2 linked regions of the Saccharomyces cerevisiae S288C genome follow. Changing the gene in region 1 together with any one later gene gives a genetic interaction. Each region holds a gene or a part of one and is shown in the gene's direction. Other genes may lie near its edges.

Evidence for each region.
Region 2: mutations in APC11 (region 1) and UBX4 together harm fitness more than expected from each alone (negative genetic interaction), as found in Saccharomyces cerevisiae (2 studies listed by BioGRID).

What each region holds. Positions count from the first base shown.
Region 1 is NC_001136.10:431,492-439,202, forward strand, and holds APC11 (anaphase promoting complex subunit 11), read left to right. Parts: upstream 1-2,005; coding exon 2,006-2,503; downstream 2,504-7,711. Other genes in the region: YDL012C (uncharacterized protein), read right to left, coding at 1-26; glutathione-disulfide reductase GRX6, read left to right, coding at 839-1,534; YDL009C (uncharacterized protein), read right to left, coding at 1,434-1,757; YDL007C-A (uncharacterized protein), read right to left, coding at 5,076-5,333; proteasome regulatory particle base subunit RPT2, read left to right, coding at 6,556-7,711. UniProt on the Saccharomyces cerevisiae protein: Probably catalytic subunit of the anaphase promoting complex/cyclosome (APC/C), a cell cycle-regulated E3 ubiquitin-protein ligase complex that controls progression through mitosis and the G1 phase of the cell cycle.
Region 2 is NC_001145.3:402,567-407,363, reverse strand, and holds UBX4 (Ubx4p), read left to right. Parts: upstream 1-1,790; coding exon 1,791-3,041; downstream 3,042-4,797. Other genes in the region: AVO2 (Avo2p), read right to left, coding at 1-1,060; SOV1 (Sov1p), read right to left, coding at 3,127-4,797. UniProt on the Saccharomyces cerevisiae protein: Involved in CDC48-dependent protein degradation through the ubiquitin/proteasome pathway.

The sequences.
Region 1 (7,711 bases):
TTTCCGTAATAATCTTGAGCTGACATGAGATGTGTATTTGCTTGGTTTATGGGCTATTGTATGGGTTTGTCTTAATATCCTTTTCGGTTGCGTAAATACTTTTTATATTTCAATATTTCACGATGCCGCTGATAGCATCGTTTAATACGAAAACTTCGAGCCATTTACCAAGAAATATTCTGGACTAGGTGGAAGGAAGCTTCGAGAACTCACCGTGGCTATTCAAGGCTGATGGACATATGTACTGGGCTGAGCTTAAGATCTCCCATTACTGCTCCGTGGGGTTTTATGTGAAATGTGGCGTTTCAGCAGTTTTTAGTTGGCTAATTTCCTAAAAGTAGTAATTAGTTTCTTATGATGGATTTAATGGCGTAGTTCATCCGCGTTTAATTTAACTAGAGGATAATCTACTTGCAGCATGAATGAAAATAGTAAGCCAGTAAGGATGCACTGACAGACTCAGCTACCGATTAGTGTTGTTGACTTTTCCGCAAGATCCTTTTCTCCCTCTTTGGACCTAGTCATCCCTCCACACAAGATTCGCTCTTAAGTAGTGGCGCAGGCTGTTCGCTTTTAAGCATAGTGCTTAATGTCGAAGGCTTTATAGATCCCAAATACTACGCCTTGAGAAATTGAATGCACTAGCAGTTAGTTAACTTTCTGGAACGCGCATGACGCGTCCCGGGGCGCCTGAGGCGGAGCGTTCGCGAAATCGGGAAAACATTATACTGGGAAAGATCACTATCTATTCTCTAAATGAACTTTTAAGCAAATTATCGTAAGATAGAAAAGACGAAACCTTAGCAACCTAGCGGTTTAATATAGAAACAATTTTATTATGATACCTTCCAATAAGAGAAATGCTAGAATTTTAAGCATTACAACGCTATTATTGTTGTTAGTGTTTTTCGTAGCGCAAAATGCGAACTTCTTGACGGTAGAGATAAAAGAGGAAACTTCTAAAGCATTTAGTACTAATATGGACAATATGGCTGGAGGATCTTCCAGGGAATATGCTGCTATGCCGACTTCTACCACGAATAAGGGGAGCTCTGAAGTAGACGAAGAAATTAATGAAATAAAACAGAAGGTGGGACTCCAACAGCCCATAGCATCGGTTGATGATAGTTTGTCGGCCATTAAAAACGATAAAGGGTCGCGAATAACCAAAGCTTTTAATGTTCAAAAAGAATACTCCCTCATACTAGACTTGTCTCCGATTATAATATTTAGTAAAAGCACCTGTTCATATAGCAAGGGCATGAAGGAACTGCTTGAAAATGAGTATCAGTTTATCCCAAACTACTATATTATAGAACTTGACAAACATGGACATGGGGAAGAGCTGCAAGAATATATCAAGTTGGTGACCGGTAGAGGAACTGTTCCAAACCTTTTGGTTAATGGAGTATCAAGAGGAGGTAATGAAGAAATCAAGAAACTGCACACTCAAGGGAAACTTTTAGAATCATTACAAGTCTGGAGTGATGGTAAATTCTCGGTTGAGCAACGTGAAAAACCTTCCAATAATTGAAATTGTTACAAAAAGGAAAGAAGAAAAAATTAAGAATAAATATATAAATAAAGAGGTCGTGAATGATTAGGTCGTGAAATGCAGTGTAGTTGGAAAGGCGTAGTTTTCCTAGCACAAGGCGTTTCGGAGTTGGAATAAAGAAGCTATCACCAACGAAGAAGCTTTTTTGTCCAAGACATCTCTTAAAAGGGTTGTGAAAACATAAAACGCTTAATGCCTTCATATATACATATATAAGTTTATGGTTTCGATGTTTACAATAACTTCTATCCTTTGCTGGTCCATGCACTTCACCTTGGTAAGTTATGCAACGCACTTTTGTCTACGCCTGCATTCGATATAAAGGGTAAGCTGCCGAGATAACTTTTGTATCTTCCGTGTCTGCAGATAAAAAAATAATGCATTCTTCAAAAACTTTGTACAATATCGGGAGAGTTTAACAAGCAAAGTGGCAATACAGATTATAAAAATATGAAAGTTAAAATAAACGAAGTGCACAGTGTGTTTGCTTGGTCATGGCACATCCCTAGCACATCTGATGAGGACGCAGCCAATAACGATCCAATTGGCAATGATGAAGACGAGGATGTCTGTGGTATCTGTCGTGCCAGTTATAACGGTACCTGTCCAAGCTGTAAATTTCCAGGCGATCAATGCCCTTTAGTGATTGGGCTATGTCATCATAACTTCCATGATCATTGTATATACCGTTGGCTTGATACACCAACCTCAAAAGGACTGTGTCCGATGTGTAGGCAAACTTTCCAGCTACAGAAGGGTCTAGCAATTAATGACGCTCATGTCCAAAAGTTCGTTGAAATAGTTTCAAGAAGAAGAGAAGAAATGATAGAGGAGGGCGTCGCAGAAGAGTTTGTGGACTTTGATGAACCAATAAGGCAAAACACCGATAACCCAATCGGTAGACAGCAAGTTGATACCATCCTGGACGAAGACTTTTTGTTACGATAAAAAAGAAACTTAGAAATCACAATTAGCTATATTTCCATACGGTTCTTTTCTTGTGAACGCTGTTAACATTCTGTATACTTAAATGAAAATTTAATATTGATTTTTTCTTGTTGCAGCTAAAGATAAAAAAATTTTCTTTTCCAATCGTTGAATAGATGTACTGTAGCCGGAACTGAAGTTAAGGTTGTTAGATTGAAAAAGAACAACAGTGTACTAATCATGCTAACGATGACAGCGGTATCGTTGCATACTTAGAATACATAAAAATATGCTTCCAATCGGATTTGAACCGATGATCTCCACATTACTAGTGTGGCGCCTTACCAACTTGGCCATAGAAGCTTCTGATTTGTGTTCATTTGATTGTAAGTTAGAGTATTTCAAGCTCTAACTCAATTATGTGAACTTTCATAAAATTGTGTTATTTTTGAGAAATATGTGAGTTGTTAGATAATTGTTGGGATTCCATTGTTGCTAAAGGCTATAATATTGGTATACAGAATATACTAGAAGTTCTCCTCGAGGATATAGGAATCCACAAAAGGGAATCGATAGTTCTACATAATGTTATTATTTTATCTTCTTTCCTTTTATGCGTTGTCATTCATTATCCTATTACATTATCAATCCTTGCATTTCAGCTTCCATTAGATCGGATGACTGTTTCTCAATCTTTATGTCATCTTCTTACACCGCATGTGATAATATAATATTAAATAGATGATATTAGAGTTCAATTCCAACAATTTTCATTCTAGATAGCGGGAATATTACTGGGTATTCAGTATATCACAACGTCTCTTACAAGATAGAGGATACTACAAGAGGGAAGCAAGAATCATACATGGTAATGTTGTTTTTTCTTCCCCACATTTTTTGTTATCATTCGTTATTTATTATATTTTCAATGCTTGCATTTGCAGCTTCCATCTCATCTGATGACTGTTTCTCAATTCTTATAGTGTGTTATCATGTACGGTATTAGATGATGACATAAGGTTATGAGAAATTGTCGTCGAAGTTAAAGGAAGCTGTATTCTGTATACATAATACTATAGAATTTACAAACAGTGGAATTGCAACAATTATCAAATTATTCACCTAATAATCACCTTTAACATTCAGGGAGGTTTATTTTTGCTTCCGAAATTTTTACAGTCTACAGGGAAGAAATAAATATTTAGTTGAGAAAGTTTTGTTTATTTGTAAGTTATTAATTTGAAAAATAAATACCATAACTAGCGCAAAGCTTATAAAAGAGATGTTTGTTGAAAAATGCAGAAACCCCATATATAAAACCATGAAATGTCACAATGGACATGATGTACATTCTTGGAGATAACATCATATTCGAAATATTCAATATGCCCAATTGGTACCTGTTCTCCATACCCCATTATATGATACAAATGATCTGCCCCTATTCTAACACTGTGCTAGCAACATAGCAATTATACTAAATTTTTTCAGTCACTATGCAATACATGTAATCTCTCAACTACCAAGCAGTCATTATTCTATTAATATATATTTGTGCTTGGAAGTATTGTTTCACTTCTCAGAGGCCTTTCTTGACATGTTATAGTTTTTTAGGTACCTTCTAATCCTGTAAATTTATACAAAAATTGGTATATAATGGCTACCTCCGGAAATTTTAACAACTTTTGGGTCACACTATTACTGTGTATACTTCCTTTAGAGATCTCAAGCATTACTGAAAGATAACCTGAGGAAAAACATAGCGCGTCTACGGATGTGTAATACTCGCTGGATTTCCTGGTAAAAACTACTGTACATTTATCAGCTGCCTCTGCCAATGCTATTGAGAACCGTAGGTTCATTAGAATTACTTCATTCAACGGAAAACGTCACTATACCTGCCGCTTGTGTGTCGCGTCAGTAACGCCTTGACAGAAAAAGAAAGAAAAGAATATGACCGACCGATCGATGTATTATTATTATTGAACTGATTATAAAAAATTGGAACGTCGTAGAATCAGAAATCATAAGACAATGGCCAACTATGCCAAATCACACATCAATATTTAACCGAGATAGCAAAAGAAAATAAATTTCGATTATTTTTAAAATGTAACTGACAGTTTTTGGCACTTGTGGACTTCCTCTTTCCGGCAGATAGCAAAACCAACGGTAGAATGGCCCCGAAATTTAAATTTTATTTCATTGTGTGCTTGAGCGTGGCCTTTTTTTTTTTTTTTTTACATATCACAAACAATTCACACATTACCACACATACCATAAGCTAACGTATGCGGTGCAAAGTTCACTATTAGGCGCTTAAAGGCTTGGAACGAAATGACTTCTGGCTTTTGTTTCCTATACACATTCTTAGCAAAACTTTTGGTGTTGTAACAAGCAATGAGATAGAGAAAGAAATATATCCATCAATGGAAGAAATAGGCAGACGTCGGTAATTTTATTCTATTGAAAATATGCAAAAGTGACAGTATAAATTGAAGTAACTAATTTTACATCTAGTAAGCTGCTGTTGAAGAATTGAATAGTATCGCAGTATTTATTTTGTATACCCTTAGAATACACATACTTGGTGTTAGAAGCCATCTAATACACTATATAACTCGGGGATTAAATCATCTTGGAAGAGCGAATCTAGTTCAGGATCGCCTGTCGTAAAGTTCGAGGATAAGGACATCGAATTTAGTAGTAGTCCTAATGACTCGATGTTATTGTCTAAAATTTGTTCAATTTCTTTTCCTGATTTATCATCGTCTTCTTGAATAGGTAAACAGTAATATTTACCAAAGTTCAGGAGGGTTAGGATGGTGTGAAAAATTATAGGAAGGAACATCAAGAAAGTGCTTGAAATATTTTTCTTGGATTATGGAAGTATCAAGAACGATATTATTTCAATAATGTGATGGTTTATATCTTTGCATACAATAGATTTTGTGATACTTTTTTTATGTAATGGTCCCGTAACCCCGTCGCTCTTTCCCTTTTAATTTTGCCCGATCCACTTTCTATGCCGGTAGTTTAGCCGCCAAGTGCTATTTTCAAACGAATCAATAGTAGCGGCTGCAACTTTGAAAAAGAAAGAAACAAAATTATGCGCTAGTTTTCCATTTCTTGTATTCTTTTTTCTTTTGCGGTGGTAATTACGGGAATTTAGTGATGTTGGAACGAGAGTAATTAATAGTGACATGAGTTGCTATGGTAACAATCTAATGCTTACACCGTATATTAATGTACACCTCGTATACGTTTAAGTGTGATTGCACCTATTGCAGAAGGAATGTTAAACGAGAAGCTCAGACAATACTGAAGCTGTGCTAAAGATCTATTAATTGAACATGATATGGTAGGTACATATATGAGGAATATGAGTCGTCACATCAATGTATAGTAACTACCGGAATCACTATTATATTGGTCATGATTAATATGACCAATCGGCGTGTGTTTTATATACCTCTCTTATTTAGTATAAGAAGATCAATACTTATTTCTTCATTAATACTATTTTTTACCTCTAACTATCAACAAGTGATAATTGTTGGAATTCCATTGTTAATAAAGGCAATAATATTATGTATACAGAATACAGCTTCCTCTAACTTCTATGACAGTTTCTCATACCTTATGTCATCATCTAACATTGTACATTATAATATACTCGTAGTAAGACTACTAGTTGAGAGAGAATAGTTGATTTTTATTCTAACAAATAATATTCCAGCAGGTTTACATATTCCTAGGTTTGGGATATATCTTAAGTCAATAATTCATCATTAGTAAGGCAACTTGGCCGAGTGGTTAAGGCGAAAGATTAGAAATCTTTTGGGCTTTGCCCGCGCAGGTTCGAGTCCTGCAGTTGTCGTCATTTTTATATTCCCAATATTTTTATCACTCCGGGTAACGAGTTATTAACGGTTTTTCTCCGGTGGCAAATGTCTCTTTTCTTTTACCTAAAAGAAGGTTAATGTGAATATTAGTGAATATGATGCGTATCAGTGTCAAGCTTACAGTCAATTCAAGTTAAAGAAGAGACAGCGTTTTTAATAGAAAATAAAATGGGACAAGGTGTATCATCTGGACAAGACAAAAAGAAGAAGAAGGGATCTAATCAGAAACCCAAATATGAACCTCCCGTTCAATCTAAATTTGGTCGTAAGAAAAGAAAGGGAGGTCCAGCTACTGCTGAAAAATTACCCAACATATATCCAAGTACTCGTTGTAAGTTAAAGCTTCTAAGGATGGAACGAATTAAAGACCATTTGTTATTAGAAGAAGAATTTGTCTCTAACTCTGAAATTTTAAAACCCTTTGAAAAGAAGCAGGAGGAGGAAAAGAAACAATTGGAAGAAATACGTGGAAATCCATTGAGCATTGGGACCCTTGAAGAAATTATAGACGATGATCATGCGATAGTGACAAGTCCAACTATGCCTGATTATTATGTATCTATCTTATCCTTTGTCGATAAAGAGTTACTAGAGCCTGGATGTTCTGTGTTATTGCATCATAAAACCATGTCCATCGTAGGTGTTTTACAGGATGACGCCGATCCAATGGTTTCGGTCATGAAAATGGATAAGTCGCCAACAGAATCATACAGTGATATTGGTGGCTTAGAATCTCAAATTCAAGAAATAAAAGAGTCTGTAGAGTTACCGTTAACACACCCCGAACTGTATGAAGAGATGGGTATCAAACCTCCCAAGGGTGTGATTCTTTATGGTGCACCCGGTACAGGTAAGACATTGCTAGCAAAGGCTGTTGCAAATCAAACATCTGCCACATTCTTAAGGATTGTTGGCTCAGAGTTAATTCAAAAATATTTGGGGGATGGTCCTAGGTTGTGTAGGCAAATTTTCAAAGTAGCGGGTGAGAATGCACCAAGTATTGTATTTATTGATGAAATAGACGCCATTGGTACTAAAAGATATGACTCCAATAGTGGTGGTGAGAGAGAAATTCAGAGAACCATGCTGGAATTGCTGAACCAGCTGGACGGGTTCGACGACAGAGGGGATGTGAAGGTGATTATGGCCACTAACAAAATCGAGACTCTTGACCCAGCATTAATCAGGCCTGGGAGAATTGATCGTAAAATCTTATTTGAAAACCCTGATCTAAGTACTAAGAAAAAAATTTTAGGGATTCACACTTCCAAGATGAATTTAAGTGAGGACGTTAATCTTGAAACTTTAGTAACAACAAAGGATG
Region 2 (4,797 bases), on another chromosome or scaffold:
CGTTGTCATTGCTCTTGTTAGGCAACAAGTATCTATTAATCAACGCGATGTTGTTGTGCGGACTTGTTGGTGTTGCACTGTGTCGTACTGATTCAGATACAAGCTCTTTCTTGGGCGACACACCTACTGGAGTCTTGACGTTGATGGAGTTCACTCTTAGTCTCGAGCTGGAATTTGAGCTTGACGAAAAACTGTCCGTAGACAAGGTTGGTTTTCGTGGGTTGAATACTGGATTTGTGATAGAACTCCTCCGATTCCCACCGTTACCGCTTGTTGTATGCGTTGATATCCTTCTTGGTAATACCGGCAACGGACTATTATTGGAATAGAGCGAATATGGCGAATTCATGCTTAAAACTGGGGAAGGCCCGTCCTCGAAAGTGGCCTTCGCATTTAGTATAGGAGTTCTGAATGAACTTGGTTTTTTGCCTGCACCCAACGGTGGCCCCTTCTTTTTCACCTCTTTTAACACTTTTGAATATATATTACCTACTTCAAACGTTTGTGCTACATCTATTGGCTTCCAATTTCCCTTGTCCCTGACATTATCATCCAAGGACACCTCACCTTCATTGAGAAGCATCTTCATACAACTTATACTGCCATACTCCAGGCATACATGCAGCGGCGTGTCGCCATTAGTGTCCATTACCCATAAATCAGCACCAACTCCTATCAACAGACTCAGACATTGGTAGTAATCGTTCATACATGCTATATGGATGGGGGCTCTACCATTCTCTCCGCGATGGTTGATAAATCGCGGAAATTGTTGCAAAAGTAAATGTAAGGTTTGCTCGTGCCCTTTCATTAATGCTAAATGCACACAGGTGTTTCCTTTAAAGGTTTTTATTAGTTCATGCTTGTCGTGCCCCAGCTGAATTAAATACACGCATATAAGGTATCTTCCATGGTATGAGGCGTAATGTAATGAACTCCATCCGTTCTCTGAGTCTATGTTGGTTAGCAAATCCGGATTCCGTCGCAATAATCTTTTCACTATAAGTAAATTGCCTTCAATAATAGCCTCCCGCAAGCGAACTGAGGGCTCTTTCAACATCTTTTGTTCAATATATCCTCTTTTCTAATGGGCGTTTTTTTTTTTTATTTTTAGGGTCCAGTTGATTTATACATTTTCAATTGTACCAGATCAAAAAAGTCTAGAGGAAAAAAACGTAATTAAGACAGAAGAAAAAAAGTATCAACTCCGGAATAACCGGGCCGCAAGAGAAATCAAACAATTAGTTGCACGAACATTTTTATCAGGAATAAGCAGGTAAGGGTAGGTATAAAGGTCAGCTCAGTACACGTATATCGTGTGAGTTATCTTTATTAAAATAATGATTCCAGAATAAGCGATGAGAGAGTAACGCTATTGGAATATGATATGGGAAATATCTTGAAACAATTTCAATAATTTGTCCATGTTTATGCAGTGTTGTACAAGCGTTTTTAAAGAAACTGTATAATATTCAAGATAGCGGGCGCCTCAACCGCTGTTTTGCTCCTCTTTTCTCTTGGAACTCTTGCCAAGAAAGATGTACGCCTTATAAAACGCTAGATGCTATTTCTTGCAACTTTATTACAAAATTTCAGCACTATTTCTTGCAATCCTAGATGTTTCCCTGTCTTCTATCTTCGATGTTAATTTAGACGTTTCTTCAAAGATTCAAGTTCTCTTTTATTGTACTATGTGTGGCAAAAAAAAAAGAAAACCAAAAAATGCAAAAACTAAGATAAATCTACGTACTGCGAAGAATAGCAAGGCAGACTAATAAGCGCACAATACAATGCCTATGGTTACCGTGAAGTATAACTTCCAACTTTTCAAATGTAAAGTTTCGTTGAATTCAACACTAAACGATGTGTTACACCAATCCATACAATTCTTTCAACTGCACACCTCGTCAAACGACTGGTCATTGATACATTTGGATAAACCGGTGCCATTAGATTTGCCATGGAGGCTTCTAAACTTACCAACGGGTGTCAACTTAGAATTATCTAAAAGTAGTAATTTTCCGGTGGCGAATAAGACCAACCGCGAAGATATTCCATTCAATACGATCAAAATACGGTTTCAAATCCCAGGAAGAGATTCCGTGGTTAAAGAAATGCCATCTGACCAACCAATTGCCCCTATCTTGCGACAGATGAGCGGCGCTGCGGGAGATGATTTTAAGATCCAGGTCTTTTCCAAGATAATAGAGTTCAAAACAATTAAGGATGAGAATTTGACTCTCGAAAATTTAGGGATTCAGGAGCCTTCGTCAGTTAGATTGATTTTTAATAATACATCTCATTCTGAGGGCATTAGCGCTAATAGCGCTATTCACCCAAAACAAACTCCCCCTACGATGACGAACCCGGAAACGGTTGCTTCACTACCACCTCACGAACTACATAAACCTTCTGTGTTTTTGCCCTCGGATGAGCCATTAGCAGTTATCAAGGATCAAATCGAGGATGAAGAAGATTATGAATTGACAGTAGAACAAGCCAAGAAATACCAAAAAATGTTATCATCGAAGGCTGGTACTTTGGGTGGTCCTATTTTGACAAAGAGACTTAGAGAGCAATCAGCCAACAACTTGCCAAAGAAAAATAAGGCTATATCTGAGTGTTTGCTGAGAGTCAAGTTCCCCGATAGAAGCCATATTCAAATAGCATTCAAACCCAATGAAGACATGCGTACAGTTTATAACGTCGTGTCGCAGTTCCTGATCGATGAGAACATGCCTTTTACGTTAAACCAATCTCATCCTTTCAAACCCTTGGCTAAAGACGATAAGAAGCTACTGGATGACCTGGAATTTGGCTCTAAAACAATGCTGCTTTTTGAAACAAATTCAAATTCTAATGGCCCATTAATAAAGGCTCATCTTTTGGAAGACGCACAAAAAATCACACACGAAACGAGGACAACCCCATCAGTTAATACGATAAATAAATCCAATCCACAGGGCCCTTCTGATAACGCTACAAGTATCAAAAAGACTTTAAATAGAGTACCTAAATGGATGAAATTAAGTAAAAAATAAATACAAAGCTAAACAGTCTCCTCTTTTAACTTTATTACAAATATGTACACGTATAGCTAAAATTATATAAAATGCATCCGTTTTTTTAGGCTTTTATCTTTAACTTATTTACATCTTCTATTAATTCTTCGAGTAAAGTAAACTCTGTTCCTAATTCTTTAAAAGCATCTTCTACCATCAAGAAAGTAGAACAATCACTTTTTTCCTTCCATTTTATAAAGATCAAAATCTCCCTGATCAAATGGGATATTGTATTCTCTTGATTTGTACCCTGTGGAATGTTTTTTAAGATTGACTCATTATTCATTAGCTCCGCCTTCCGTAACTTGTACTCACAAGCATCTTTACTGATGTTACTAATATCTCGTAAATATTGTCTTTTCAAACCCTTTAGAATATACATACTCAAATCGTAATCAATATTCAAGTCAAATTTTTTCGTTAGAAACGTTAATATGGCAGGTATTGCTTCTAAATCCCCGCTTTTCATGAACGTGGACACAATTAATTTAGAAAAAGTTTTGTCTGGCAAAATTTCACCATTTTCTGCCGTCATTTGGAACAATACTCTTGGGTGACAAGTTGGGTGAATCTTTATCTGCCTTTTTATTAATTTCTTTACAATGGACGACTTTTTCGATAAAATCCTAGAATTATTTTGTAAAACATGATAATAATGGCAATACACAGACCAAATCTTGTGGTACAGCGGTTTTGTTATGATGCGACGGTTGTAAAATCGGCAAGGGTTTGAGGTGGATAATGAAGACTCAGAGCTCACCTGTTGTTTGGATTCAAGTAGCGGATTGATGATCTCAAAACTTGAATTAAAGTCATACATGCTATCATAAAAATTGAGTATTTCTCTCAAAAAAACAGCATTTGGGATAACCTCTGACTCCTGCATTCTTTTTAAAAGTGACTTCACTTTCTGCTTAAATTCCTTTTTTCTAAATGAGGGCGTATTTTGTGCCTTCATATTTTGAATTTGAAGACTATAAAATTCAACAAATTTAGCGTAATGATATGCATTAACTTCCGAATAAAACTGATTATAGAGTAAATCTGGATCTGTTTTTGATTTCTTTGAGGCTTCTTCTAGTTTTTTTAAGATATTATATGCTTTTTCTTCTTCACCTGTACCGAGAAGTATGTTCAACAAGCCATTAAACTTTCTGGAACGTGACACACTGTTTAATTCCATCCACTGTCCAGAAGCCTGTTTAGTAATGAACTCTTCCAGAAAATCAGTTAATACAATACTTTTTGTTAAGGCCGAAACATTCTCAAACAGCAATTCATTGTATATTGGAGAATTAGTGTTATACTTAGTAATAACGCTCTCAAATGCCTCTTGCAACATTTTCACATTATTCTCAGGCACTACATAATCTTTATTTTGAGCAAAAATGTTTCGTAGCTTTTCAAAATCTTTCAACATATTTAGCTTGGTTTTAACAAGTAGAAATGCGGCATCTTCTTGTGTCGTTCCAGGTATTTCCATGTACTTGCTGATAAGTTGAGCCGCCATGGGAATATTTCTCTTATAAAGATGGAAATCAACAATGCTGATATAATCATGATCCGATGGTATTTCTAGTTCATTTAAGAACTCAGTTGCATGTTTCTCATTCTGAAAATTTTTAACTCCCGTGGGAAGTTCCTCCTGCTCATCTTTCATTCTGATTATTCCAACTTCTTCCACTAACTTAATAAATCGATCAGTCAGTATATTAGCTTCAGTAACATTGCCAAT